Linked DNA regions of Lepisosteus oculatus. The protein of the gene in region 3 interacts with the protein of the main gene of each other region in a biochemical or structural test. Links are inferred from orthologs where the notes say so. Each region holds a gene or a part of one and is shown on either strand. Other genes may lie near its edges.

Region 1 (6,925 bases), on a different chromosome or scaffold from region 3:
ACGCACCTGTGTATGTGGCCTCTTTGACCCCGTAGGCCAGAGCCCCGGCTCCCAGCAGCAGCTTGAGGCCCATGCCGGCTCCCCTGGAGCCCGAGGACATGCGGCTGGCCATGTCCCTGAGCTGCTGCACAAACCTCTGCGGGGCAAAGAGAGCACAGGCTTAGCCAGCACGCCTGTCTGGCGTCCTACTGCCCCCACAGGCAAGGGGGGGGAGTCAAGTCTGACACCGGGGGGGGTCAACTCCATCCCTGAGGATCTCTTGTCAGGACCGTGTGGGAAGACGGAGCCCTTTCGGCTTTTACACACCACGCCGCACCTTTCTGAAAACAGACCACCAGCCTTTGATTGGATTTAGTCCTGCGTTAAAAACTACCACCGCTAAGATGCTGCACTTCATTTCTAGAGACAAGGTACAGTCGTGGCCAAAAACATCGGCACCCTTGCACTTTTGGCAAATAACTCACAGTTTTCTCTAAAAATAAGTTGCAACTGACCAACTTATGTGGTCTCCACAGTTCTTTATTTCACTGTTACTATTACAGAACCGTTGTTTTTGATTCAGGACTTAATCTATCCTTTTAAATCAGAAAATAAAAAGAAACGGCATTGCATTGACAAAATTATTGACGGCCCAGACTCAATATTTGGTAGCACAGCCTTGTGTCACAATATCTGCAATCAAGCGCCTCCTATGGCCACCGATGAGCTTCCTGCACCTCTGTACTGGCAGTCTGGCCCACCCTTCTCGTGCCACCTGCTCCAGGCCTGCCAGGTGTGAAGGGTGCCCTCTCCCAGCTGCTGTTGTCAGATCTCTCCACAGGTTTCCAACGGGTTTAGATCTGGACTCATTGCTGGTCCCTCCAGAACAGTCCAGTGTTTTGTCCTGCCCCTTTCCCGAGTGCTTTTTGAAGTGTCCGGTGTCATCGTTGAGCTGGAAGACCTATGACCTTCGACGGAGACCCAGCTTTCTGACTCTGGGTATGACATTGAGCTCCGGAATGCCCCGGTGTTCTCCTGATCTCAAGACGCCTTGCACACGCTCAAGGCATCCAGCGCCAGTGGCAGCAAGGCGACCACACAACATCCCTGAACCTCCTCCATGTTTCACTGTAGGGAAGGTGTTCTTTTCCTTGAAGGCTTCATTTCGTTTTCTGTAAACATAGAGGCGGTGTGCTTTACCAAAAAGCTCTAGTTCGGTCTCATCTGTCCACAGGACATTCTCTCAGGAGGATTTTGGCAAATTGCAGTCAGGCTTCCTGATGTCTCTCTCTCAGCAGCGGGGTCCTCCTGGGTCACTGAGCTGGCGAGGGGGGGTGCGTGTTGAGACTGTCGCACCTCGGCTCTGAAGGTCAGCTTGAATCTGTGTGGCAGCTGATCGAGCTGCTTTCTCCACCATTCGAACAACCCTTCGCTACAATCTTCGATCAAGTTTTCTCTTAAACTTCTTGATAACATTACATACAGTGGAAACAGGAACATCAAGGTCTCTGGAGACGGACTTGTAGCCTTGAGATTGTCCACGCTACAAAAGAATGTCTTTCTTTTCTCCATGCTCATTGTGGTCCACACAGTGACACAAAACAGGAGAAAGAGTCCTTTTCTCTATTCTGACTGGCTGAACTAGTGATTTTTATATTGCAGGCACCTGCAAATCACCACAGCTGAGTTCAATTCCAAAGTAAAGGAGAATCACCGGCTTGAAATAGAATTATTTCTAAACGCTTGTAGAAGGTGCCAATAATACTGTCCGGGCCATTTTAGGATTTCTTGTGGAATAAGCTTAGTACTTAGTACATAATTCAGCTTTTTTTGTTTGTTTCACTGCAAACCAAAGCAATACAATGTATAAGAAATACATTTTTAATTTCAGCATTTGTCTGGAAGAAGTGTAGCATTATTTGAAAAAAATGTGCACGGGGTGCCCATATTTGCGGCCACGACAAATATTTATTGCAAGACGGTTCCTCCGGGTCTCGCCCGGGAGCAGCCAGCCTGGTGACACAGAGCCGTGCGCGTCTGTTCCGAACCGGCTCGTTCTGGGTTTGAAAATAAAACACAGGTGGGAAATCCGGTGCTTCCAGATACCGCGCAAGTTTCATCGCAAGAATAACATTCGCTCAGGTTATGAAACTCAGCGGCTGAGGTGCCGCTGTGGGCGAGCGCTCCCCCTAGTGGCGGCACCGGGCATCGCCGCGCTGACTTCTTCGGACAAGGCTGGACTCCATATTTACTACATCCAGAACATTCCTTGTCTTGGGGCCGCGGCGGTACGTTAATAACCAACACGTTTACACCAGGTTCCTTGAGGACACACGGATAAGTCAAAGGCAGAGGAAGTCTGAAGGGTCTAATTACAGACGGCGTGATGCAATGTCACCGACCCCCACAGACTCCAGCGAGACGCGCCGTATTGCACCGGTTGCTACAGCGCCGAGCTCTTCAGATCACATATCTGTTAATCAGAATGCTACACACTAGCTTTGAAAAATAAAACAATCCAGTCCCCTGCATATCGTACGCGGCCAAGATCCGCTGTCTCTTGTGACCAACAATATGAAGTCTAACACGGCCTCGTTAGTCCAGGCACAAAAAGCAATCCCTCTACAGCATTTACAGCAGTATTACTTTATTCTGCAATTCCACGCATAGACTTAAAGCTCGGGGAACACACGTCTTGAATTATTTGGTAGGTTTATTCTGGGAAAACAAAACCATATTCACGTTAATCAAAAAAAAAAAGATGAAGCCTCAGACAGAATGACATCAAACCGAGCTTGGCGCCACGGTCTTTACGAAAACAAGAATGTAACTATCTCACGGGAAAGCACTAACTCCACGGCAATGTGTTTTAATCGGCAATATTTCCAAATACGTGTGTAATTTCCATACTCACACTGGGCTCCTTATTCGCCATGCTGCCTGCTTCTGTGTTGCGCTCTGCCTCGCTGCAAGGTCAACTCACTGCACTTCCGGCTCCCTAAGAATGGCCCTCTGGGAAATGTAGTTCACCACAGAAGACACGTGATGACGTTATTTTTCTTCTATCGTACTCGCGAACGAAGTGATTTTCAGTAATCCGCACAAACCGAAACGTAATCCCATTCAGATGACCCGTGTTACTTCCATAGACTAGTTAACTGTAGCGAATATAAGCTTAACTATAATATATATAACTTTTCAAAAATTGTATGAATAATAATAATAATAATAATAATAATTGCTTACACTTTTATAGCGCTTTTCTGGACACTCCACTCAAAGCGCTTTACAGGTAACGGGGATCCCCTCCACCACCACCAATGTGCAGCCCCACCTGGATGGTGTTTGTCCACTGAAACCACCCCCCAAAAATAAGGAAAATAAGGCCTAATAGAGGTTTGAACACTTAAAACCAGACCAGATTAATTTGATAGTTTGTTGCTTATTGATCCAAAGATCGCAGCTTGTTCCACACTCCCACCACGCTTTGTGTAAAGAGCTGCCTCCCGCCCACGGCTTCTCCGTAGTTTCCCCTGGTTCGTGCGGACTCCTGAACCCACGGTAACGCTGGGACGACAGATGATGCTCCTGCAGTTTGAATTCGGACGGAACCGATTTTGTAGCCTTTTGCCCCGTTTTCAGGACAAGACCTGCTGCTGGGAGTCTGGCGGTGAGCGCGAAGGTGAAACACTGTGTTTCTCGCCGCAAACTCTCGACGATTTTGGAAGCTTCCAGCAAACGGCGGAACTGACTCTCCCACATTTTATTTTTACAAACGTCGGCATCTGTTACCTAGAAGACCCGGGGTCTCTGGGCTGTAAGCAATGTTAAAGATTGGTGCCGCTGGTCGTAGCTTCCCAAACGACCCTCCCAGTGTTTCTGGGGCGCCGTCCCCAGTTTATTTCTCACGTTTTCGGCTTTAAGAACTGAGACCTGCTGGAGCAAAACAAAGAGCTCTTCTTCCCCTCAGGTTTCACTGGACGTTAAATAATACAAGACGGGGTATTTCAGGGCATGCCTTTTCCAGTTCTCATATACTGTATATATTGAGCGAAACGAGAGACTTTTGTTTTTGGTTTAAGCGGCGAAAACACATCACTCTGGATGTCAGCCCATACAGTTGTGTTTACAGCGTCTTGAGAGAGACCCGCAGTGACCCGCACTGAGCCTCACTGGCCTCTCAGCCACAGCAGCGCTTCTCAGCGCCCCGGTGCTCTGAAAACGACCCCGATGTTACGCAGATCGGTAAACAGATGAGTTGACAAACGTAACGCTATATTCAACTAACTCTTAATGCCTAAGAGCTGCGCTGGAAAACCGGACGCAGTTCATTGATTTGCACATTAAATGCTTAAAAACGACTGCGCTTGGTGAATGGGACTTAATAAAGCTAAACAAATTTCATATTTTGATTGAATACACAGAGAATCAGGAACCACTTTTTTAATCAGTTGCGCGTTTTTTTGCCTTATAAAACGGCTAAGCTAATTAGTGTTCCCCTATCCCAGGATGCCTAGCGGCAGTGCGCGGAAGCCGCGATGACATCACAATCCCTTAGTGACGTGCTGGAGTGCATCCCTTTACCGCCTAGCAACGGGAGGACATCACAATTTTCTTATACAGGATGTCACATAGACCCCGCCACCTCGCCAGTCGCCGGGGTATAAAAGGGGCCTCCTGTAGAAACCGGTTGCAGTTGATCGCACTCTGATTCGTGAATACGATTTGTGTGTTGTCTTCTGCCTATGGGTCAACGACACAGTGACCCAGGCAAGCCACTGGCTGCCACCCCACCAGACCCCCCCCCCCCGAGTGAGCCCAGATTCGCCAGGGGGAGGAAGAGGAAATTCCTCAGGAGAAGAGCCAAGGAGAAGGAGGAGGGAGATTTCCCTATGTTCCTCCTGAACCTGATGACGGTGTTTGTCTGTTGCGGAGGTGTCTCTCCCGTAGAGAAGCCCAAATCCCGCACCCGCAAGGACGACACCTCGGCCACAGCGCCCCCCACGCCTGCCACCCCCACTTCGACCGGTAAGGAGGTTCTCCTATTAGCCTGAAGACTCTCAGCCCCCCTCCTGTGCTCCTCCAAGGCTCCTGGCTACAGTGTTTGTTTACCCAGGAGCCTCTCTCTGTCCTCCGTGTCAGTGACATTCTGCTCTCGTGCTGAATTCCAGACCCCGACGCAGAGGCACCCCCCAGCGCCCTCCCCGTCCCGGGGTCCCCCGAGGAAGATGGGGGTGACGGGGCCGAGGAAGAGGAAGTGATGGGGGTCCGGCCCGGCGAATACGGGGACCGGACCGAGGACGCCGGCCCAGAGCCCGTCGGGGGCCCGACAGTGGTGAGTCGGTCCTGCCGCCTCAGCCGAGTCCCCAGATCCCACTCCTGACTCCTGAAAATGGAGGGTTCGGGCCTGGATGCGATCCCTGTCCGACCCCACGCTCCTCAACTCCTCTGTCCTGTCTCTGAACTCACAGCCCCCCGAGTCTCCCCCGGAGTCTCCCCCAGAGTCTCCCCCGGAGCCGCTGCCTGCGGACGAGAGACCCCCGGGGGCCCCACGATCCGTGGGCACCCAGGCCAAGGGGAGACGGACCAGACCGGAGACGGCGCCGGCCCGTGTTGGTGACCCCGCCCCAGCGCCAGGACCCTCTGACAAAGTAAAGCCCCTTCGGAACCTCTCCTGGGTCTAACAGTGCATAACCTCCCAGCTCCTCCTGCGCACGGCCGAGCCGAGACACCCAGTCCAGAACAGTCGGTCGGTTCTGTATTCCCAATCCTGACCTGTCTCTCCTGGCCTTCCCCCTGTTTCCCAGGAATCCCAGCCGTTCCTGTGCCGCTCCAGCTCCAGCAGCCCGGTCACCATGTTTGGATCCTTCGCCTTCGACTGGCAGCCCCCCGGCGTCCCCTCGCTGCCGCTGGGCTGGGAGAAAGACGAGGAAAAGGAGCAGGGGGCGGCGGTCCGGACCGGCGAGCCGGAGCCGGACTCCGAGGACGCCAGCGTCTCCGAGGGGGCGGAATCTGCCCCCGCCGGAAGTGCCGGGCCCAGCTCCGAGGCCCCGAGCCTGGAAAGGGAGGGCAAGCTGTGAGCGCAGGGAGAGCGCCCCCCACAGGCTGCCACAGGAAGCACATGAAAATAAACATTTATTTCTGCACAAACTGAACGTGTAGTCCCTGTTTGGCTCTGGCTGCTGACACAGCTCTCTCACACCCGCAGGTTCTCTCACAAGGCCACAGTCTGCGCTCCAGACTCTTTATAAGTGGCCTCTCGCTCTCAGAGACCGGTCTGAAGGTGGGGTCCATTCAGCCCAGCTGCTCGGTCACCCCGCAGCTCCCAGATGGCAGCCCACTGCAGTCCAGCAGTGTGAGCCTGGCCACTACCTGGACGGGAGACCTCCTGGGAAAGCTCAACCTGGTGCTGGAAGAGGTGTTAGTGGGGCCAGCAGGGGGCGCTCACCCTGCAGTCTGTGTGGGTCCTAATGCCCCAGTACAGTGACAGAGGCACTAGAGTGTAAAAAGGCACTGTCCTTCAGACGATACATAAAACTGAGGTCCTGACTTTGTGGTCATTAAAAAATCCAGGGGTGTTTACTCGAAAAGAGTAGGGGTGTAACCCCGGTGTCCTGGCCAAATGTCCCCCAGGCCTTCACCAGTCATGGCCTCCTAATAATGCTGAAATGTTGATCATTGAAGCTTCCACAAGAGGGCACTCATCACTCAAACGTTTTTTCTTTCAATGGGATTAGAAATGTATACACGCCAAGTATTGCAGCAAAAAACACAAGACATCCGAATTGTGTAAAAATTCGAAAAACGAAGTTCTGTAAGAGCAGGACAGAAATTCTGTGGTAAAGGTACTCATTCTGTCTGGATACAGGAGCTGTGAGGATACAATTTTCTGAACCGTCTACATTTTGAAACCTCATTCATAAGCATTTCCATATCTACCTTGATC
Region 2 (7,241 bases), on a different chromosome or scaffold from region 3:
AATTGAAATTTGGCAAATTCTGTGTAGTTTAATCAAAGAGAATTAATCTGCCACTTAGCATAATTAAATTGGATTCCAAAAGCTACATGATGTTCAAGTATACAACTATGTTCTCTTCTCTAGTGGTAAAAAAAACTCCTATGGAGGGAAAATCAAAATGCATTTTTGTTCTTTTGTTTACATCTCAGCTAACAGTCAGTCGGGTATCCTCATGTCTGCACATGTCTAAATATGCCTACAAGGATCAATCTCACCATTTGTGTTGTGGGTGATGCTGATATTCTCATGCTTGTATTATCTGAGGGTAAAAAAACATTAATGTCTTGTTTAACAATATGCGGCAGAGCTCAAACACAGCACTCTTACAGATGACAATAATGAGATTCTAACTCAGAACTTGTGTTGTCACATGCTTATCAGCTGTTTGAAATGGTACACTTCCAATGAACGTGTTTTCCCAGGGATGTAGGATGTTCTATCCCCTAAATTGGACGAAGATAAACAGGTGCTAAATGTGTGGATGTATATTTCTGAGATTTTCACTCTGAAATGCACTGTAAGATATAAATTAATGCAAACTTTTAAAATGGGGACAAAGCGATAGCTCCAGTATAAGACAATAAAACAATATCTACGGTTTCTCCAACAATACACTATACAAAAAGTGATGAATAATTCACTAACTCTGTGTATATATCAAGAAAAGTTTCTCTTCAATTCTTAATGCATTGTAGTAAAGGAAACTAAATTATTCATTGGGACAAATACGCCCGAGTTCACTATGTTCAGAATAAATAGTTCAGGAAAGAGTGCTGAAGAGAAGGGCTATATTTTTCCATGGACATTGCTCTCACCCCTCAGGTCTCAGATTAGCCTGACAGTTACTCTATGGACAGCTCTCTCTCCACAGCTCCCAGCCTGACCTGGACAGTGCACACAGTGATTAGGACAGCAGTGTGGGATTTAAAGGCTGTGGCTCATAAAGCTTCAGGGGCCCTTTACAAGAACTCTTAAAGTGGTTTTAATAGGGTGTTAACTTAATGGCCTACTAAAATCTCACCAGGTTTTATTTAATTTCTTTTTTTGGCAAATTATGAAAAAAAAGTTATTCTGCTTCCTTTTTTTCCTATGTGTGATTTTTAAGAATTGGGAATATTTAATAATTTCCTTTACCCACCCATCTGTTATCAGAAAGTCATTTCTTCCTGATAAAGCAACTCTAAGAAGCATGGGTGTGAAGTGGGAGTGTGACACCAGTCCATCACTGAGCATGCACTTGAACTCATGCACACACGCAAACACAAACTCAACTCACACACACGTACACACAAATTCAACTCACACACACATGCGCACACACACAAACTCAACTCACACGCACACACACAAACTCAACTCATGCACACACGCACAAACTCAACTCACACACACATGCACACACACAAACTCAATTAACACACACACACACAAATTCAACTCACACACACACGCACACACACAAACACAACTCATGCACACATGAACACAAACTCAACTCATGCACACATGAACACAAACTCAACTCATGAACACATGCACACACACACATGCACACGCACACAAACTCAACTCACACACAAGGACACATGCACACAAACTTAACTCATGCACACATGCACACGTGCACAAAGTCAACTCACTCACACATGCACATGCACACAAACTCAACTCACACACAAGCACACATGCACACAAACTAAACTCATGCACACATGCACACACACAATTTAGTGGCCTAAATTTCTTCTCAGTAAGTCCTGAAATGTAAACACCAGGAGATAAGAAAGGGGCTCTGGGAATTACCTGCAAACTCCACACAGAGGGCACTCATATCCACCCAGGACTGTGGAGCAACAGCTTCGAGAAAAACAAGTTAACAATCTTTTTGTAGCACAAGTCGACTGCTTTATTTATTTTAAAACGTGTGCTCAAATTATTTAAAAATGTGTGTACTTTATGATTACCATATGATTACCATTAGTCATATTTGTTAGAATTTGCCATGTATCATATTTAAGAAAATTAAAAATGATCATCCTTGAGAAAGAGTTGCTTAATTAACCCTGTTGGATTTCCTCGCAGTGTGGAAAATTACTTGTTTTTTTTTTACACACCAAATGTTGAAAACCATGCTCAATCAGTTGCTCCATGCAGGATTTATATTGATCCCATTTACACATTATTATGAAACACTATTATCATTTTATAAAATTCTCCATATTAGCTACTACAAATTACTCTTGTAGAACACGTGGTGTTTTCAGTCAAGCTCACTGGGTCGAGCACATTCACTTATTTTACATAATTCCCCTGGATGATGCAGACTCACAGTGTCCAGAAGTCTGTCTGCCTGGAACTGCCACAAGGCAAAGTTTTAATTTCCAACCAGCTCCCTGTGAATCCCTAGCAGGAAGGCAGGGGGAAGGGTAATGAAGTCGTGGTGCAGATCTGGTGTCACCTCACAGGGTATTTCAGGTCAAAGTTCAAGAAAGAAAGGTCAGGAGTGTACAAGTTTCTATGGCCAGATATAGGTTAAACTACTGATGATATGCATTTAACAGACACAGGAAAGTCATTTAGGATTTGGTTTTGAATTTTATCAACAAAAACTGAAAATGAAATAAAAATTGAGCTTGTTTTAATTTGAATTCTTCTTTTAAAAATGAGGTTCATATGTACTTTTAAAATAAAATCTAAATCGTGTTATCAATATATTGTATCCTACATACTTTACATTTAATTAATTTTCTATTGTTTTAATTCTATGAGATCAACATTGGAGCATTTTTTTCTGGAAAAAATAAAATGTTTTGTCATGTGTCATTTTTACCAAATAACTCTACAAACGTCCCTCGCACCTCAGGATTAACACAGAATGCTGTTTGGGTGGCCTTCGACCTCACTGTTAAGGTCATATTCTCCAAGCACATAACAATTATTTGCATTTTGTATTTTTACGTGTACATTATATTGCAATACGATATAACTGTATAGTGTATATACACTATACATTGAAAACATCACTCCCCTCCTTAGACAGAAAATGCTGATTTCAGCTCACCAAGAGACAAAAAATCCCTGATCGTGACAGTCACGAACGTTTGGATGAGTTAACAGAGATAAAAATTAAAAAAAGTATAAATATAATAGGCTGATTACAACAAAGGCGTTTAACGCTTTTATTACATGATTAGGATCAGCTCAAGGATTTACCATCTCAATATAAAAACACATTTTTGCCATGATTTCAACTAACCTTACTTTTATAGGAGTCATACCTTGAGTTCTAATTCTTGACATGGGGTCGCAGTGCCTTACCGTTTAGTTGCTATTGCTACGACACGTTTGTTCATACATTTCGGGGGGTAAAACCGCGGGTTTCGGAACAGGGTCGTGAGATCAGGCCCTGCACGCAGAAACTCAAAGTTGCTCTATTGGCGAAATGAGAGCGCCGCAGGGGTGGGAGCTCTGGGGGTCTCAGCGGGGAGCAGGAAATGTGTTGCCCTGCGAGAAAAGTGCAGGTATCTGGGGACGGGTTGGGTACATGAGGATTCAACGCTTCTCATTCACCAGAGAACTAGGAAAAACCACCAGCAGCTAACAAGCTCCCAGCATGAGTCACTTAAGGGACTGGAGGAGCCTTGGCCTAAACCAGCTCTAACACGAGGTGTTATACCATCAGCAGTGCTGTTCAAAGGGCTGCCAGTTTTCTTCATCATCTACCTTCCAGATCAGTGAGGGCTTTTTTCATTTCTATTTAAGTCAGCCTGTATTTGGGGGAGTAGTAAAACAAACGTCTGATTTAACACAACGACAAAACCATATTTATTTTATTATCCGCAAACAAACATCTATATTGTTAAACGAAACTGTATGATATTTTAACGTATGTACTTTTCTTAAATGGTTCATGTCATGGTAACGTCATTTTTGGAGTATTAAAAGGCACAAAGAATTGCAACCACTGACACTTTGCCACGTACCCTACACTAAACAAATACTCGACGATCCTAGTGGAAAGTTATTTGCTTCGAACTGATAATTTCTCTACAGAAATCTGTTGTTAGCTTCTCCTTGTGTCCTTTCTTGGGAAATTTCGATCAATCCGAAGCAACAGAAGCTGTGAAGTTCAGTGGCTGAGGAGCAGTGGCGTCGCTGCGCCTTTAAGCGCTGTCGGCGCTGGGGGAGGAGAGAGCCTGTGTTGCAGACTGCTGGGGGATTCCTAGTATAAACACTTCAGCCAGACTCGACTGCGGAGTGCGGAGCTCGATTGCTACAAATTGACCTAGAGGCGTTTTATTTTTCCCAGAGAATTGTTATTATATAGGTTTTCGTAGGAAAACGAATGCTTATATGTGGCCTGTATCCTTTGCTTTTTTATTTTTTTTTCGTTCCTTGTATATAGTCACGGATATCAAGTGAGCCGAAATAAAGCAGGTTGCAAAAGGATTTCCCACGTTTCCAGAGACGCGACTCATGTCTTTGCTGGAGTCCTGTCCATAACCAGGCAGGTACGTGTATATCTGGCGGAACTGCAAGGCGCTAGCACCGGAGATAGGGCCGTGCTGCTGATCTGTGACAGTATGAATTTATCTACATTAACACGCATTTGTGTAAACATTGGAATATTTATTTTTTCGAAAAGCTAGGTTCTAGCACAGTTGGGTACGTATATCGACATTAAAGTGCTGCCTAAAATGGAGCTTTAGTGATCGGTGAGCGGTGCCTCACGTCACTGGTGTAGAAACGTAGTTTCCATTTTGTTTTATTTTATCAGCTGAATGCAACATTAGTGCCTCTGAAGGTCCGTCGCATCTCCGCTGTGGTCGCGGGTTGAATTGCGGAGTCGTGTTCATCGTTGTGGCTCGGTGTGCGGGTGGAGTTAGTTTACTAAATGCTCATTTTCAACAGAATAAAATCTCGCATTTTCTGCCCTTTTCTTTTTGATGTCTTTAATTTTTGCATGTTTTATGCTTTAATGTTGAAATACTTAATAGCTTCCCAATGGAACATTGACGAGGCGTCTAATAACATCGGGTTCAACGTGGCCTTTAAAGACAAACACTTTTTAGCAAGCTGTTTATCGTAGCTTCATGAAATGGGAGACTATGGTAGCGCACGCATAGCAGGACTGCAATTCAATAGTTAACTTGGTGCTGTAAGAGGTGGATCATATGGTTTCGATCCAGAATAGAGAAGTTCCTTCTGTAATTATACACTGGCACACGTGGCCATCAGACGTAACGTTATGTTTTGCAGCAGAAAAACAAAATTTAGTTGATAAGATTGGAATTCAGATAGTAATGTTAAACATGTACTACTTTGCGAACAGTGGTTCTGTCTCTGCCTGTAAAAGTACCGTTTTAGGTTAGCTCTGTAGGCGCTGTTGAAATTTTAGGAAGTCTGTAGTAACCCATTGGAAAATCTACAGGGTTACTAATTATCAGAAATTTAACTTGGTGTCATAAACTGAAACGGACAGCAGCCCACGTGCACAACCACAAACTAGAGAAAACACCATAATAGTTTTCTTAATTGTAATGAAAATATACTCAAAATGTCAATTCTAATTTTTGCTTTTTTTTTGCTTAATTGTTTACGGAAATCTTAACATCTTTTCGTTTACTAAGGACCTTTAAAGAGTTCTTACAGGGCTGCGATTATACTTTTCATCCACAAAAGACTTATTTTTTTAAACATCTTCAGTATGATTAGGGCCTAATACGGAATTATTTTTCAGACCGTTTGCGACCATTTCATAGCCTGTGTGTGCTCTTCTGGACTGATAGACCTTCATCATCACTGGGGAAGCTGTTTGATCCCTGAGATCTTCACAGTTCAAGATGTGTTTATTGGGAGCGCCGTTAGTTTGGTTTTCTTTACATCACAACAGCAGACATTATCATTAATTTGTGACTGGGTCATTTCCAGTTTGTTAAAATACAGCGTGTGAGCTTGCTAGTTGTGTTTTCACAGAATTTAGAATTTAGATAGTTGCTTGTATATCAAGTCCCTTTCAGGAGGGGGTGCTCTTTAGTTAATGGGGAGCTTCTTGGTTATTGCGATACCAACAAGGCATCTTTCAAAGTTGTGGGGATACACATACTTCGTGCAGAATGACTGAGACTTGGCAACTAGGAACTCGCACACGATATAGTAAGTGCAATGGATACTACTGGATTGAAGTTGGATTTTTCTGCTGAATACCTTTCGTTAGAAGCAGGGGCTTCAGAACCATGTCCTATTGCGCTCATTGGTATCCGATTGTACAGGATTTCTTAATTCACTTGTATAGATTTGACATGAAAAATACTTTTACTGTGAGCTGCTCAGAATGTAGTGTTGATTATTTAATGCATTTTGTTGTAGGACCTATTTATCGTGTTGTAAATGAACACATGCTATTCACATTTCTTACTATTTTGTGAAGTCTTTGATAATAGAAAATTAAAAAAATTAAAAACTCTGGTCAAGTTTGGTTTAAAAGTTATGTTTTGTCCATGGTATACTTAAAATTGTATGAACAATGAAGTGGTCATGTTTTTGGAATAGGGTAGGTTTTTCATCAGATTTGAGATTGTTCTTTATATAAAACATTTTACATAGGTGTTTTGGGGGATCACATGCATACATTTGTGGCTTTCAGAATAAGATAATTAATCCTTATTTTTTGCATTTTGATTTGTTGAATTTGTTTTGAATGGATTCCTGCAAACTTGCAGAATTTTAAGTTTTGTGCTTTGGATGCAGATCCTGTATATATTTTCTAATGAAGAAATCTGAATGCTTTGTTAGATTTGTTGGATAATTTAAAAGCTTATTATATGTTAAGAAATTCACTAACCTTTTCTCTGGATTGGAGGAAATCCAATAGGTTTTTTGCAGTGTTTATAAAACTTTCATTCGGTTCTGCAGAACAAAATCTAAACCTCATCTTGTCATTAAAAATGTTTATTCTTGCTTTGTACATGGAATCAGAATTGACTGTTTGAAGAAAAAAGTTAAATATTTATGGATTTGGCTTTAGGTAGGTTTAGTATTGTTATATTAACTTTTTCTGTTTCTGATCAATGTTTTGGGTTGAAAGGCCAAAGGTCTAAGTCGGAAAGGTTGTAAAGTCAGATGCAGAGCCACACAGAGGGTAACTCCTCTTTTATTTGTTCAGGTGCTCACTGATGTCCTTTGAACCTCCATTTCAGAAT
Region 3 (7,971 bases):
CACAAAACACAAAAAAGCTAAATCTTATAGGTCGGGCAGCGTTTTAATATAAAAGGCTGATATCTGTACCACAAGTATGGAAGAATTGAACAATTTTGTTCAATTGTGTTGTGACCAAGGCCACTGTGCCTTTAAACCAGGCAAGCAGGTCCTTTTTTTCCTTTCAGGCAAACTGTGTGCGAATATTTCTTTCCATGTTAAATTAATTAGAGTGGCTATTTGTCCACAGTTTGCCTTCTGGGAAAAAAAGGACATATCACTCTGCAAGCCAGCAGCCATATCACTCTGCAACTCACAACTGGCAACCCACTGAAGCTAAGCAGGTGTGAGCCTGGTCAGTACCTGGATGGGAGACCTCCTGGGAAGAGGTGTTAGTGGGGCCAGCAGGGGGCGCTCGCCCTGCGGTCCATGTGGGTCCTAATGCCCCAGTATAGTGACGGGGATACTATACTGTAAACAGCCGCCGTCCTTCGGATGAGATACAAAACCAAGGTCCTGATTCTCTGTGGTCATTAAAAAAATCCCAGGGCATTTCTCGAAAAGAGTAGGGGTGTAAACCCAGCGTCCTGGCCAAATTCCCATTGGCCCTTACCAATCATGGCCTCCTAATAATCCCCATCTCTGAATTGGCTTCATTACTCTGTTCTCCTCCCCACTGATAGCTGATGTGGGGTGAGTGTTCTGGCGCACTAGGGCTGCCGTCGCATCATCCAGGTGGATGATCCAACATCTTTTGTTAAATGCACAGTGGTGGTGGAGGGGAGTCCCCATTACCTGTAAAGCTCTTTGAGTGGAGTGTCCAGAAAAGCGCTATATAAGTGTAAGCAATTATTATTATTATTAATAAAACTAGGCCTTAGAATCTGAAGAGACCCTAACCCTAACCCTAACCGAAAGGCAGATCTCTTCAGATTCTAGACCACTTTCTTGTTTCATAATACTGTACAAATTGGAACTGAAATTCAGTACACGTCTAATAATGCTAAAGCATCCAACATCTTTTGTTGAATGTCTGATTATATAAACTATTGAAGCAGCTGTGAAGTATTCAAGTGATGCACACCACATGCTACCTTAAGTGGCATTGCTGAAAGTAAAATGAGCTGTGTTGTTTTTTGCAAACTATAGCTTTTATGTAGTTAGAAGTTCATGCAATTAGCAATCTTATAGATTACATTGTTTTTCGCCATATTTATTAGGAAAAAATGAAACCTTTACAGTAATGCTTAATGTGAAAGTGCTATTTATTTTAAAGCAAAAAACTCAGATAAAGAACATGCCTTGGGTTCCCTTACAGTCCTGTTACCAGAGTGATTTAATACCACAAATAATTATTGAGTCTTAGTGAGAAATTAGTGAACTATTTTAATATTTTCCTTTTTAGGTCACTAATACCAAATAAAATAAAGGTATCCATAAAAAGAGTACACTAAAACACTACTGCATCTAAACGTGATTGTGAGTGAGGTTCAGTGTTCTGATAATATCCAGGGAAAATTAGAGCACATGAGCAAAACTTATTCTTGATTTATCTTCCTGGCTGTATAATTGCACTGCACTAATCCTTGAACTTTAGAATGATGTAATCATACAAATTCCCTGGATTATATGAAACAATCCACAAGAAAGAGACAGACATCAGTGTGAAGCTTAAAAAAACAATTTGTCAAAGGAGCCAGTATTTCAAAATCTGTTTCATTATATGAGTGGGAAACTCCTTCACAGTGACCACAGCAAATCTCATCTGGGACTATTCGGCTAAAATAATAAATCTTCAAAAACTTATATTAGAAGGCAACAACAAATACAAAACGAACTCATGGTCATGTTTTTCTTCCCTTTATGAACTGAGACTGCTGCAGACACTGATAATTTGAATTCTTGGCTTTTAACTAGATGTTTGTTTTTTATCTCTTAGTTCTCTTGCCTGTTTCAAAACTACTTCTGTAATTTTTTGGCGCTCTTAACAAAATCCTCTCGAATCTCAGTGAAGAACTGGAGTATTACTCCTGTTGTAACCCGTCATGTTCCTACATGACAAATACTGACACTAGTTCCCAGACACCCTTGAGTCCCTTTCTGATTTTATTGACCCTTACAGCCAGAGAACAAATTACAGGAGTCGGCTCGAACGTGAAACACGACTCGACTGAACTAATCGTACTTTTCTTTAAAGTTGTCTGGAGCGCCCATTGAGGGTGGATCTGGTTGTTTGAAAGCATGAGCAGTTTGAGAATACAGAACAGGGGCAGCTGCGATCTGGAAGCTGAAAAACAAACCGAAGGCAGCTTACCTGAAAAGAGGGGTGGTGGCAGCTTCCCTCAGCCTGTAGCTGCCCTGGTCACTCTCCAGGTAGTAGGGCAATTGCTGGCTGTGGTGGTGGGGGTGATGGACAAAAGGGGAAAGCCGAGGGTTGGAAGGCACAAACACCAGGGGGCTCGTGGGCACGCTGCCCAGGGAATGCAGATTGGCATCGGAGGCAGAGCCATGAGTGTCCACAGGTGCCGAGTGGTAGCTCACGGTGGTGGGGTTGTAGATGGGGGTGGCAGCGGGGGCCGTGGTGAACTCATAGGTGCCATCCAGGTAGTTGACAGCTGTGCTGTTCCTGTTGTCCTCCAGGTACATCTCGCCCAAGGCTCTCTCTGGGGCCAGCTTGACAGGTGAGCTGCTGAATGCTTCCAGCTCTCTCGTTTCGATCTTGTGCAGCAGAACTAATCCGGGGGGCTTGGTGTAAGGCGGCCTAGCCATGATCAGAGCAAACAGATAATTAGCATGGTTTGTTTTCTTTTTTTCTTTTCCTCCCAGCTCCCACCTAGCACTTTCAGAAGAACGTGATCCTCCTCACTCTTTACAAGACGAAAGCAGAGTGCACAGCCGGAGCCTGCCAGAGATCATTTTTGTTTTCTTATATGTGTGCGTCTGAGAGAGAGAGTGAGCGTGTGTCTGTGTGAGTGTGAGCGCTCTCGTTGCTATGAAAAGATTTTCCTCCCCCTACACCCCAACCCCTCCGACACATTCACAAACCTTTTTATAGTTTTTAACTGGTAGGTGGAGTGAGCGAGGAAACCTGGAGTGAGATATTTCACAAAAAGAAGAAGAAAATAAATCAATTGTAACTTTTTACTCCATGTCAGCATAGATTCATATCAATGACACTGGCATAAGGCCAGTCAAGGCTGAATTACACTGGCATTGGTTTAAATGATCACTTCAGGCACACGTAATTTAGTGAGGTAAGTATTACATGAATATTTTACTAAATCATACAACAAGGACAATATGTGGAGCATAAATGGCCTGGATTCAACCTGGGATTCAAGGTGATTATGTTCCTTCTGGAGGCCACAAGTGAGTCTAGGAATCACTGTTTACGTTCAACACGAACTCCTGGAAGTCAAAACTCACTCCTCAGCTTAACCTGGTGCTGAGGAGTGAGTTTGCCACGCACTAATGACGCCATGGTAACAGCTTTTCACATCTGTGGTGGTCCAAGTGGTTACTGCTTCTGATTTTACAAATATTTTTAAAAGATTACAAATACAATTTACTGGGCAGAATATTAATCTACAAATCTGAAATTCACTTTGCAATTGTAAGACATCAATGGTCGCCACAGGAATAACAGTAAAGCAACAAAACATAAAAATTGTTGTAAAGTACAGAATATACTCTGAAATCCATGTGTTATTCAGGTTCATGAGTCTCAGAGGAAGGTACCTTCGTTAACAGGTGAATGAGGATTTGGTTCAGCACAACTAATGAGGTATTTTTTATCAGCACCAAGGGGTGCTCTCTTGAGCAAATACTAAATTATCTTTTTTCAGTTTGCTGTTAAAAGGAATTCCCACTTAATACTTTTAAATATTACCAGGACACTCCCAGGTAACTTTAATTTTGGTTCTCTAATTTTAGTAAACCATGACATCACTACTGTGGTCTTGAATGTGGCAGGTAAGACTTTCTTGTGTGCAAGCTCTTCTGCACTTTTTATCTCTCTTTTTGCATTTGTTGTTAATTGTTTCATCCTTGTTGAGATTCGGTTTTAGAAAATACATTTAAAAATGTGGTAATTCTATGAAATATACTGAGTATCAAAAATAACATCACTCAATTGCACATATTTGTAAATACAATTTAAAAATGTTAGATATTGATTTAGAGCAAGTGAGAAGTTACAAATGAATGGGTGCAATTTGACTCATTTGGTAGTTAGTAATTAATTAATGCAAGGATCTCATCCAGATATTTCTTGAAAGAAGTCTGGGGATGGACATCAGCAACATAGCTCGGTAGCTTGTTCCATACTCCCACAACCCTTAAGTATTTTTGGTATTTTTAACTAATTTATCAGTCATAACCAACTGCTATATTTTTGAACGACTTTGACTGTTACATAAACACCTAATTAAGCAATTAATCACCTCATTAGTGAGAGATGGGTAGGGAGATGAGATGATTTAACCTTGACTGTCAAGAAAAAGCAAGAAAGATAAACACAGAAACACAGAAATCAACTAATGTGGCTTGCTTTTTAAGAGAACATATTTTAATTATTTCTTGCACGTATACCAAAAAAAGAAAGTCATAAACATTTTAAAGAGGCTAGAATGGGTAAGAAGCCAATAAAATCCACAAGGAAGATATCAGAGAGGTTACAGAACCAAAAGGGAAAAACAAAACAAAGGATAAGTCAATTAAATATTTGAACATACAGTCAATGTAAGCAGTGTTGGAAAAAATACATGAGACAGATGCGACCAAATGAACAGGTAATTATGATGTAATTGGAACTGCAGATATGTGGCTTGCCAAAAATGATGGAGATAAAAGTGAACTTAGTGATTACATACAGCAGGAAAAACATGAGAGGCGTGTTGTACATGCGATTTGTATGACCTCATTTTACCTTTTGTAAAAAGTGTAGTTTCCGTATGTGTTTTTTTATTTCTTACTTTTTTTTTAGTTTGCTGTAAATGGAAAAGTTTTACCATAAGAAATGTTAAACAAATTGTAACGGGTGGAAGATTAAACAGACCCAGAGGAGTGTTTGGGTATTTAGATTCCCTGGTAGTTGCCTATGTGTGCTGTTTGGAAATGGCAAGAATTTGTTCAAACAGTGGATTCAAGTTCAGGAACTAAACCAAGAGGAATCTAGGGTCTCTAAATCTATGTGTCAGGCACATAAAAACATTCTAACAGGGTAGTGTTAAGACTATGCTATTGACCAGATGGTATATATATATAAAATTAATATATATAAATATATATATAAAAAATCCAGATGGTAAATATAATTCAACATTGTGTAATGAAATTAAGAATTTATTTGTAAATCAAGAACATTTTAATGGGAGACTTCAACTTTTCCCATGTAAATTGGAAAAATCTATATATGAGAAACTGAAATAATAGACTTAGTTAATGACTGCTTGATTACTCAGTTTGTAGGAGCACCGACGAGAGAAAACATTCATATTGATCTTGTGTTATCAAACAGAATGAGGTGAACAGAGGTGAGGAAACCATACCTAATGGCATTAGGAAATGAAAGGAAATTAACATTTGACATTTACTCTGAAATACAGAGTTTACAATTTCAGGAAAGAATGAGACACATCTTAGTATGTACTGTAAGAACAGGATGGGTATGGAATGGATAGTAACAGTTTGAACAGATTCCACCTGAAGCACAGAATAAATATACTGTAAGAGTATATTTCATCATAAACCAAGACACAAATGATTAAAAAACAAGATAATCTCTTTAAAAAAGGAATAAAATGAATTGAAAGCCCAGATATAAAAGGATATAAGAGCTGATGAGAGAGATGGAAAGAAACATTTTCAGTAAAAGGTTCTTTCAGTACTACACCAGCACAAAAACCAAAGGATTAAGTAAAATGTATCTGAGAAAATAATGGAACTTCTAGGCAATCAAAAGGAAATTATGTACTAAACGAGGAAGAAGTCAACATTCCTCGGGCAGCAGAAAGACAAAGTTCTTCATTAAGAAGAGTTAATATCAAAAATGCTCTAACCACTCAAGATTAATAACTCCAGCGGTACTCAAGGAAACAAGAGATGTTATCCCTATGCCATTATAAGCTTCTTCCAAAAGTCCTTTCAGAGAAAGTTAGTGATGTTAGACTGGAGAATTGGTAATGTAGTGCCCATTCAATAAAAAGAGTGTCAAAACTGAACCAACTAATTATAGACTAGTATGTCTGACTACTATTAAATGTAAGGTTATAGAAACAATTACTAGAACTAAACGAGAGGATAACTTCTATGAGAACAAGGTCTTAAAGGATAATCAAGATGGATTTAGAAAAGGCAGGTCTTGCTTAGCTTACATGTTAGAGTTCTTTAAACAAGAAAAAACAATAACTGATACACACTAACACACAGATTATACAAAACATTTTGTTAGAGTTTCAAAAGCTTTTGATTAACTTCTTTACAAAAGATAATTTTCAAAATACAAGTGGTAGGCATTGAGGAAAATGTGTGTGGTTGAACTGAGAATTTGTTAATAGAAAACAGAGACAAGGGACAAATGCTCAAACTGGGGTAATATAATCAGTGGAGTACCACAGGATCTGTACTACGAAAGCTATTCTCCCTTATTTATATCACTGGTGTAGATTCTCCTATAGTTATCAAACTAGTGAAGTTTGTATATAACTAAATATAGTAGTATTAAAAAATAGATAAATCAAAAGACTGGCAAACATTTCTGGCTGATGAGGTTGTTTATGATGATGAACTGTAAATAAAAAAATAACATATGAAGAATACTTAGGTGTTTATGTTGACAAATGACATGCTCAAGACAATTCGAGGAAGAAATAAAAAAGGAAAAATAGAATTTTAGGATAGTTAATTGCATCTAATCAAGGGATGTTATCTTAAAATCGCATAATACACTAGAAGTGAGAAAAGAGCAACTAAATTCATTCTTGGGCTTTAAAGTCTTGAACAGAGAGGACTATGGGAAGACCTGATACCAGTATTCAAAATCCTGAAATGTATTGGCAAATTCATCCCAGAAGAGTTCTTCATAAAAACAGAGAAATGTAAACCAGAGGACTCAAATGGAAAATGGAAACTGTGTGAGATTACTCTTATGATTGAAAAGAGGTAGCATTTTCTTACCCAAAGGGTTGTGGGTTTAGGGAACAAGCTACCCAGCCATGTGGTTGAAGTCGATACCCTGGTTTTTATCAAGAAATGACTTGAGATCCTTGGATCAATTTGCTAACTACCAAACAAACTAGAGTGGCACTTAAATGGCACACAATTATCCATGCTCAATGAGAGGAATGGGCTAGCATTTGCAACCTCATGAAGTACAACTCGTACTGGTTTCCAGTGGTGACCATGCATGCTCCTAACCTATGACTTTCACAGTAGACTTCCAGTTTATCATCCCTGTTGAACACAAATGTTAAACAGTATCATGAATTGGCCTGTATCATGACTCTTCAATAAAATTTCAATGTACTACATGCTATTATTTTGTGTTGTCATTTTCCTGTTAATATCTTTGCAAATGTGTTGCAGCTATAATTCATAAGTTTCATTTTAAACAAAGTATTTTACATGAAACTAGAACTTTTTTAAGATGTCACCTTGTTTATACAGGGAGTAGGTAATCTATGAACTTTATAATTATAATATAAAACTGTTTTTTAGTGTTACAATGTGTGAAAAGAAAATATAAATAGTAATTCATTTGGACTAGCAAACATTGTTGACCACTGATTTTTTGTCAGAGTTGAATGCTTTATGTATTATATCTATTATATCTATTATACCTATATACATTACATATAGAAAAACACTTTAATAATCCTTTTTAATTACTTTAACCCCATGATCATCCTTTATCCTTTTAGAATGATTTTTCAAATAATTAGCTTGAGAAACCTTAAAAAAAACTTAAATGACCACACAAAAAAACTTGTTTTG
Region 4 (7,990 bases), on a different chromosome or scaffold from region 3:
TCTAATGCCGAGGTCTCTCTCTCTAAGTGCTTAATGTGGAAGTGCTGTAAACAAACAGGTCACGTACTCTCAGGCACAGAATGGCACATTCTGTGCACTATTTTGACTTATCAACAAGCCCTTTGATTCATTCTTAAAACCCTGCTGCTTAATGGAGTTATGGAAAGCAGCGCATTGCTTGACTTGTCCTCTTCTACCAAAATAGCTTTGATGCCGTCTAAACAATAGGGACTCTACCCTTTTAAAAACTGCACAAGGCACCGGCAAGAGGCCCATCCAGCAGAAAAGGTCTCATTTTAGAATCTGTGACTCACGGGGGTGTTAAAGTTTTCATTTGGGCCAAACTATTCCAAACAGGCTACACTGCCCGGATAGAGCCAAGATTTCACTGGCCATATGAAAGGAATCTGAATCATTTGTACCGTTTTTTTTAAAAAAAAAAACCTAATCTTAAAAAAATCTTTTGGTGTTTGAAAGAGAGGCTTTGGGTTGAGGTTGTGGTTTAATCTATGGGTTAGAGTTTCAGGTACGTCAAAGAACGCTGAATGTAACTTAACATTCAATCCCACTAATGAGCGATGAGCACAACTCCAAAAGTATGTTTCAAGCTTTAATGTCTCGCCCGTGTTAAGAGTTTGACTGTTCTCTAAGAGAGCCCAAGTAAAGCGCTGTATTTCTCATCAATCATAATATGCAGGGATCTGCGATGCCTTCCCTTTCCCTAATGCTAATGCTAATAAAAGGGCACCGTGGGCACGGATGAGTTGCGTTCGACTCATTTCTGAACCGATTTAAGGTTTTGCTAAACCGACTTGTGGAAATGCGTTCAAGCCGCGGATAACACGTCTCCGCAACCCCTCGGGTGCAGAACAGCAGATGCCGCAGAACGTGTCACATCATCATATTCATATGTGTATCCCTTTCTCATGTGAATCCACACGCGTCGGTAACTCTGTTCCCACCCCGCCGCACACCGGCACTAGACAATGCTGGTGCTGGCTGCCCTGCAGCTATGAAGAAAGGTGAAGTGCACCAAATATTCCTCCCAGGCCTGATCTTTCCACATGAATATTTTAATAGCTCTGGAGATGGCCAGCATTCGGTTACTTTTTGGGGGAACTCAAGCCCTGCAAAAGTCGGGATACAATTTGGGCTTTCCAGTGCAAGCCGAGCTCCGGGCGACTTCATCCGACCATTTAGCTGCGTCATTAGGAGGCGTTGATGAGCTTTCCAGGTCTCTGCTCGCCACTGTCTGCACAGCTCTAAGCCCGATGCAAGTCGGATATCTACAGCATGTACATGCAAGCAGACGGCAAAAGCGCGGAAAGCGTGGCACCGGGAACTGGAGGGGGTCTGTCTCGCCGTGCACACCAGACACGCCGTCCTGTCGCCGCTCCGAGGCGGGGACCGTCGCCCGGCCTGTGCGGGTCTCCGTGGATCAGTGCCGAGCCAGCAGGCTTAGCGGAAAGCGACCGGACCGAGGCCGTGCATCCGCCCAGCCCGGGGCACGGATGGGGCTTGTGCACGGCCAGGGGCAGAGCCGTGTCCCAGGGCGGGCGGGCAGGGCACGGCTTCAGGGCGCCTGTCCTCCGCACGGACCCCGCCAGGGCGAAGTGGGCGAGCAAAGCCGCGAACGGTTCCAGATGCTAGCACAGACGGGCTGGGTGCGTCACCGGCCGCCAGGGGTCCGAATACCATCTCTCCCATTTCACATCCCCCCCCCCTCCCCTGCCCGGCTGGAGGACACGGCGGTCCTGCAGGTGTTGCGCCCCGACCCCTCACGAACAGACACACGGCGTCTCCAGGCCTGTCGCACCGGCTGCGTAAAGGCCACTCCGGCCGCAGGGCTGCGGCGGCGGCGTCTCCGGCCTCCCGGACCAATGCGAAACGTTAAGGAGGCTTTGGGTTTGCTGGGGGGGGGGGGGGTTCTACTTTGCTACAACGACAACAACAACAACACATAAGTATTTCACCCCCCCCGGATAAAAAAAACGAAAAGAAAAAAATCCTCCTAATCTCCGAGCGAGCAACGCCACGGAGACCTCCGGCTGCCGCAACACGAATCAAACACGCGAGACGCGCACCTATTTGAAAAGAAAAGCCGGCAAGACCGTCCGACGTGTTTGGAAGATCGTTTTGGGGGGGGGGGGGGTTCTTTCTTTCTTTCTTTCGGATGCATAGGCGTGCTTGCGGAGGGTCCTACCTCTTCTGCACGGGCTTTCTCCTCTTCCGACTCGCGTAAATGCTGCTCGTACTGTTGCTCATCCTGGTCTCTCGGCAGGACACGAAATTCCCTTTCGCTTCACGGCCCTTATCGCTGTCGCCGCTGCCGCTGCTGCTGGTGGCGTTGGTATCAAGGTTATAGATCCCACAATCCCTCCCTCCTCCCCTCCAAAAAAAAATAAAAAAATCAATGACAACCAACAACGACGACGACGGCACTTCGCCTTTCACAAAAATAAGCAGGGTGTCCTCGACAGGATCGAGGTGGCGATCAAGAGGGGCGATTTTCTGCTAAGAACCATGTCCCGTCGCGGGAAACCCTGTCAAACCTCCCTCCTGTCGTCGTCGTCCTCCTCCTCCAGCGACGGAAAAAGGAAAAGAGAAAAAGGTCACCGCAGTAAGACCGTGAACTTGGTGCTCGCCGGAGCGCCTGACGCAACCGAGACGGGCTGTAACCGCGCAACTGACGCGCCCGGGCTCCTCGCGCCCCCCAGCTCGAGCCGCTCTCTCCTCTCCACGCGCGCTCCCCTCTCCCGCACGTGACGGCTGCCGGGCGCTCTCCCGCGGCCAGGTGTCTCGAGACAGGGGCACCACCTGAGCTTTCCTCCCCTCCCCCTCTCCTCCCTTCTCCTGTTCTTGCTCCGAAGGATCGGGCCGACTCTCTGAATCCGCACGCTGCTGCTGCTTCGGGTTCCTGCGTCCCCTCCTCCCTGCCAGCAGACTGGTCTCTCCCTCTCTCCTTCCCCCCTGTGCGCGAATCAATGTCGCTTTTTGCGAGCTGGACGGACCCAGGTTACACACGCCCAAGCATTGCGTCCCGGCCCCGATGACGCTGACGCACGCCTGGACGTCGGGGGGCGGGGCATGGGCGTGGGAGGCGGGTGTCCCGGCGCGGCGGCCATCTTGGTGAGGTCGCGGCAGGGAAACGCAGCCTGCCGGTAAACTGCGCGGTTTAGATTAGCAGGCAGCGTTTACCAATTCGAGGAAAACTGCATGCTGCGATACGGTTGTAATTTTGCGGTGACAGAAAAATCACGAACTGCAAATCCCAATTGAAGCAGAAATAAAACTGTAGATACCAACAAAAGGTCATACAAGAGTGGCGTGGGCGCTGTGGTGGGTTCATTCTGATCATAATAGAATCATCTGTATTTTTTTTTTCGTAAATGTGGTTTGATCGTCTGTCTATCTGTCAGTGCTGCAATTTCCCCAAGTATTAAAAAGCGTGCATTGACGCTTAATACCCGCACGTCTACGAATTGACGTCATTTTTCTCGTACTGTACGGTATTAAAAGGAAACAATATAGGATTAGCAGGATTAAACCAGATTCAAATCTAATGTGAAGGAACTGATTGCTTAGATTATTTCTGTGGATATATTATTTTTATCGCTCCAGCAATACAGGGAGTTGTTTTGCATACCTAATTAGATCATTGAAGTGCCAGAGGAATCGCGGATTGAGAAAGTCAGGTGTTCTAATTTTATTTACTTTATTTAAATATTTTTTTTACGCTGGGGAAATATAATAACTTGGTGCATATGCCCTATAAATTCGAGGCTTTCCCCTTTAGTCTTTAGTTTCTCAATTTACCTCAGCTGGTGATGATATGTGCGCTATATTTGGATAAATGTGTGCTTTAGTTTATGTTACCTGCGTTTAAATTGGCCCCGACAGGCTGTGAAATCGGATCGTAACAGATGTATATTCAATTTACACTTAATAATGGGCCAGAACGCCCCCACATAGCTGAGAGACTGAGAGACGGTGCCCCTGTCTCTTGCTGTACGGCTCTGATAGATTGCTGCTGCGTCAATAGCATATCCAGTTTCTAAACAGATCCGCGTTATTTCATCAGCTCCAGTGTGTTTTTCTGACAAAATACCCAAGAGCTCTCAATTAAAACACGGCACAACGATATCTTTCACAGAGACACAAACCGGTCATCTGTGTGTTGCCGTCAATCTATAAAGTTCAACATATTTAACTTATTCGTGAAGTCCTGTAAGGTCGACGTGATGATGCAGTGGTTACCACTGCTGCCCCACAGTGCTGGGGCCTGGGGTGCTGCCTGTGTGGAGTCCATATGATCTAATGTCCAGGTGCTCTGGTGTCCTCCCACAGTCCAAAGGCTAATTGGCTACTAGTCCAAAGTTGAATTGGCTTCTGGGAAAAGTGGCCCTGCTGTGTGGGTGTGTGTCCCTGTGTCTGCTCTGTGATGGACCGGCGTGGGTGTGTGTCTCTGTGTCTGCTCTGTGATGGACCGGCGTGGGTGTGTGTCTCTGTGTCTGCTCTGTGATGGACCCACATGGGTGTGTGTCTCTGTGTCTGCACTGTGATGGACCGGCGTGGGTGTGTGTCTCTGTGTCTGCTCTGTGATGGACCCGCGTGGGTGTGTGTCTCTGTCTGCTCTGTGATGGACCGACCGGCGTGCTGTCCAGGGTGCACCCTGCCTTGTGCCTGTCCCTTGCTGGGATGGGCTCCCCTGTGACACTGTACTGGATAAAGACCATAGCATGAAAGCAAAAAATATTGTACATTATGAAAGAGCTGTACTGTACTCTATGTTATGTTCTTCAAAGAGAAAAATATTTAAGATTAAAAAAAATAATTTCTGTCAAGACATCTAAAATCGTAAAATGAAACAAAATGGCCACAATAACAAAACAAGTCACAGGACCTACAGTACGTGCGTGCTTTCAGATATCACTGGGTGGCTCTGGAGCTGAACCAGGAAGCTCCTGGTTTCATATCCTTTGTGTCAACCACTAAATTAAACTTAGCCCGCCAAACATATCTATTGCATTCTCAGCAAATTTAAATAAGAAACAATATAGCAGCCATATTGCCCTGCAACTCGTGGCTTCCTGTTCCCGTCTGAACGGGCTTCATCACGCTGCTCTCCTCCCCACTGAGAGCTAGTGTGGGGGGAGCGTTCTGGAGCATCATCCAGGTGGGGCTGCACACTGGGGGTGCTGGAGGGGATCCCCATGACCTGTAAAGCGCTTTGAGTGGAGTGTCCAGAAAAGCGCTATATAAATGTAAGCAATTATTATTATTATTATTATTATTATTATTATTATTATTTAAAAACTGCCACTGTTAAATGCTTTCCCAAAAAATACGCATTCTGTTCATAAAACCGTAAATGTTTGTGTTTTCTACACGTTCCACATGAACATGAAGAGAACATGCAAACTCCACACAGATGGCAGCTCAGGAATCGACCGCAGGGCCCCAGTGCTGTGAGGCAGCGATGCTACGGACTACATCGTGCTGCCCTAATTTTATATTTGAAACGAGAGACGCAAAAGAAAATGAACATGCAATAACAAGCTGATCTCTCATTTCATCTTCTTCTTTCAAACCATTTTCTTGAAATGCTGAATGAGGAGGGCTATCATTATGAAGATGCCATACAGTTCACTGGTAATGTGCAGCATTTGTTAGAACTTACATTCATTAGCTTGTACAATGCAACATCATTAAGAAACCTCCTGGTAGTTTTTTTCAATGTTTTATGAACCACATTTAAGTGTAATCCAATATCTGACCGAGACAACTGATTGCATTTTGAAATTCCTAATTGAATTCTACAATTTGGAATAATGCTGGGGGCAAAGCAGACCACTGTAAGTGAACAAAACAGTCGTTAATTTGTTTCTGTAGTGTTGCAGGAAACATTTTATCAGGAATAATTGCAAACAACTTGTCTTGTTTAAAGAAAATAACGAGCAATTTTCCCATGACTCATGCGTCCCTGTTCCTAAAGCTCATAAAGATTCATGTGAAATTGGAGCCATACACTGCCATAATGAATTTCTTTGTCTCTGGACGAGCCAGGGTTATAAAAAATTGGCTTTGAACTTTGGACATTTGAAACTTTTACAATAGCTAAATATATTTCTGTGTGTAATATGGTTATTTAGCATTGCCCGACTAGCAGCAGCTTGGTTAAATACCCATGAGTCTAACTCCAAGGCCTGAAAGCTCAGAATAAAACAGGGAATTTGTATTTTGTCTGTTTTCTGGCTGCAAAATATTGCGTCATGGTCTCATTTAAACCCACAATTATGGTGTTAAAAATGGAATGTCTCATTGACAGTCAGAACGATCCTAGACACATAAATGTAAGGAATTCAATCAAATACATTTGTATAAAACTTCGGTTTTGTTATGTCATTTCCTATGTGCATGTCTTCGACATTTACAATTTTCCCTGCAAAAGTATTCAGACCCTTGCAGTTTCTATATTTTGTTGCTTTAAATCGTGCAGAAACGACACTTTGGAATTGCGATAAATATTTGTTATAGTATATACACAATGTGCCTCACACATAAAAAAATACAAAGAAAAAAAAACACAAAGATCATTAATATAAAAGAAAAATAGAAAAGCTAAGATTGGATAAATATTCAAACCCTTTTCTGTGGTAAAATTTAATGAATACAGGTGCACAAAATTACACAAAGATCAGGAAAAGAGTGCAAAAAGATTTTGTAGTGTTCTCCCTTCTTATATACCCCTGTGAGCAAGTGCACTGTACAGCATCGTGACACCCAGACGCTGCCTGGATCCGGCAAAAATGGGGCAAAGTTTCACATCCATTGAGAGAGAGCTTTGGGGCACCCAGGTCATTTTGGACATTTTGGATCTTTCTGTTACACTGTTATGCAAGGAATCGGACCACAAGCACATCTATTTCCCTTATGGCCGTGGGGCCTGTGTACATTCCGATAATTTCTTCCTGCCTGGTGACCTCTGCCCAAAGAACTGGAGTCGGGCCACGCACTTCGGTGATGGACCAGAAATCCACAAACCAGGGTCAGAAATCAAGTTGGCATAGAGTGGAGGTGCTCTCCTGTTGACTCCCGATGAAGCAAGCAGTTGGGAAATATCATGTTTGGCTTTGTCAAACATGACGACCTTTATTTCATGAAAAATGTTAACTTGTGCTGTAAGATTGTTTAAAAAGAGTTTATCGTGTGGATGGATCCCAATTTGACATCCAGATTATAGTAATCTGATTTCTTTGTCTGTTTTCATCCATGATCTACAATTAATTGGGTTTGGTAGATTCATTTAATACCCTGGGTTTAAGTACATATTTATTCTTTAGTTTAATACTGTTCGCTTCAAAGGATGTACCAACACACCACTGGCATTTATAAGGACATTTTGTGGTGGCTCATCCCAAATTAAAACTGAAAAAAATTTAGATCATTTGGCAGTACACACTTACAAATCACTGCTGCAGTACACCAGGCTAACGCTGAGCCTTAAACATTTTCAATGAAAGCAGGGAATGACCTGACACAGCATATATTCTCATCTGGGAATCTCTCGCATGGATGTTGCCTGTGCACTGAAACCACATTTTGTAGCTTTTCTGCAAAAACAGCAGATCTTTTCTGTACAGTAGGTACAGAAGTGCCCAAACGCTCATATTGCTTGGACAAATGAAGGCAATGCTCACTTTAAAAAAAACATGTCAGTATGTGAATTCCATAATCACACCACTCTTGAAAAGAGAAGGGAGAACAGCCTCTGAGGAGTTAATGATCATGAAAAATAGGAGACTGGATATCCCACATCTTAATCGATATGGTGCTTAAGCACTGTCTAGTTAATAATACCTAGCTGATACCCTAGTGTAAACATTTCTAAATCTGTATGAGGAAGCCAGACTTGAATGTTGAAATAATAAGACACATTTCAGGGAAATCAGGGAACTGCCTACTAGCCCAGAGGTGACACAGCACTCTG

Evidence for each region.
Region 1: the proteins of esr1 (region 3) and phb2b form a complex in vitro, tested with the Homo sapiens proteins (3 studies listed by BioGRID). The link is inferred for Lepisosteus oculatus from reciprocal best matches to the Homo sapiens genes ESR1 and PHB2.
Region 2: the proteins of esr1 (region 3) and nrip1a form a complex in vitro, tested with the Homo sapiens proteins (4 studies listed by BioGRID, with this or other methods). The link is inferred for Lepisosteus oculatus from reciprocal best matches to the Homo sapiens genes ESR1 and NRIP1.
Region 4: the proteins of esr1 (region 3) and ahr1a form a complex in vitro, tested with the Homo sapiens proteins (4 studies listed by BioGRID, with this or other methods). The link is inferred for Lepisosteus oculatus from reciprocal best matches to the Homo sapiens genes ESR1 and AHR.

The regions. Positions count from the first base shown.
Region 1 is NC_090708.1:1,899,038-1,905,962, reverse strand, and holds the start of phb2b (prohibitin-2b), read right to left. Parts: upstream 3,002-6,925; 5' UTR 2,915-3,001; coding exon 2,894-2,914; intron 137-2,893; coding exon 7-136; intron 1-6. Other genes in the region: uncharacterized protein, read left to right, coding at 4,725-5,007, 5,151-5,314, 5,451-5,630, 5,787-6,059.
Region 2 is NC_090700.1:317,823-325,063, reverse strand, and holds the start of nrip1a (nuclear receptor-interacting protein 1), read left to right. Parts: upstream 1-4,235; 5' UTR 4,236-4,550; intron 4,551-4,559; exon of another isoform or gene 4,560-4,704; intron 4,705-7,241. UniProt on the Homo sapiens protein: Modulates transcriptional activation by steroid receptors such as NR3C1, NR3C2 and ESR1. Also modulates transcriptional repression by nuclear hormone receptors.
Region 3 is NC_090697.1:48,519,757-48,527,727, reverse strand, and holds the start of esr1 (estrogen receptor), read right to left. Parts: upstream 3,022-7,971; 5' UTR 2,749-3,021; coding exon 2,294-2,748; intron 1-2,293.
Region 4 is NC_090705.1:2,282,541-2,290,530, forward strand, and holds the start of ahr1a (aryl hydrocarbon receptor 1a), read right to left. Parts: upstream 3,015-7,990; 5' UTR 2,266-3,014; coding exon 2,204-2,265; intron 1-2,203. UniProt on the Homo sapiens protein: Ligand-activated transcription factor that enables cells to adapt to changing conditions by sensing compounds from the environment, diet, microbiome and cellular metabolism, and which plays important roles in development, immunity and cancer.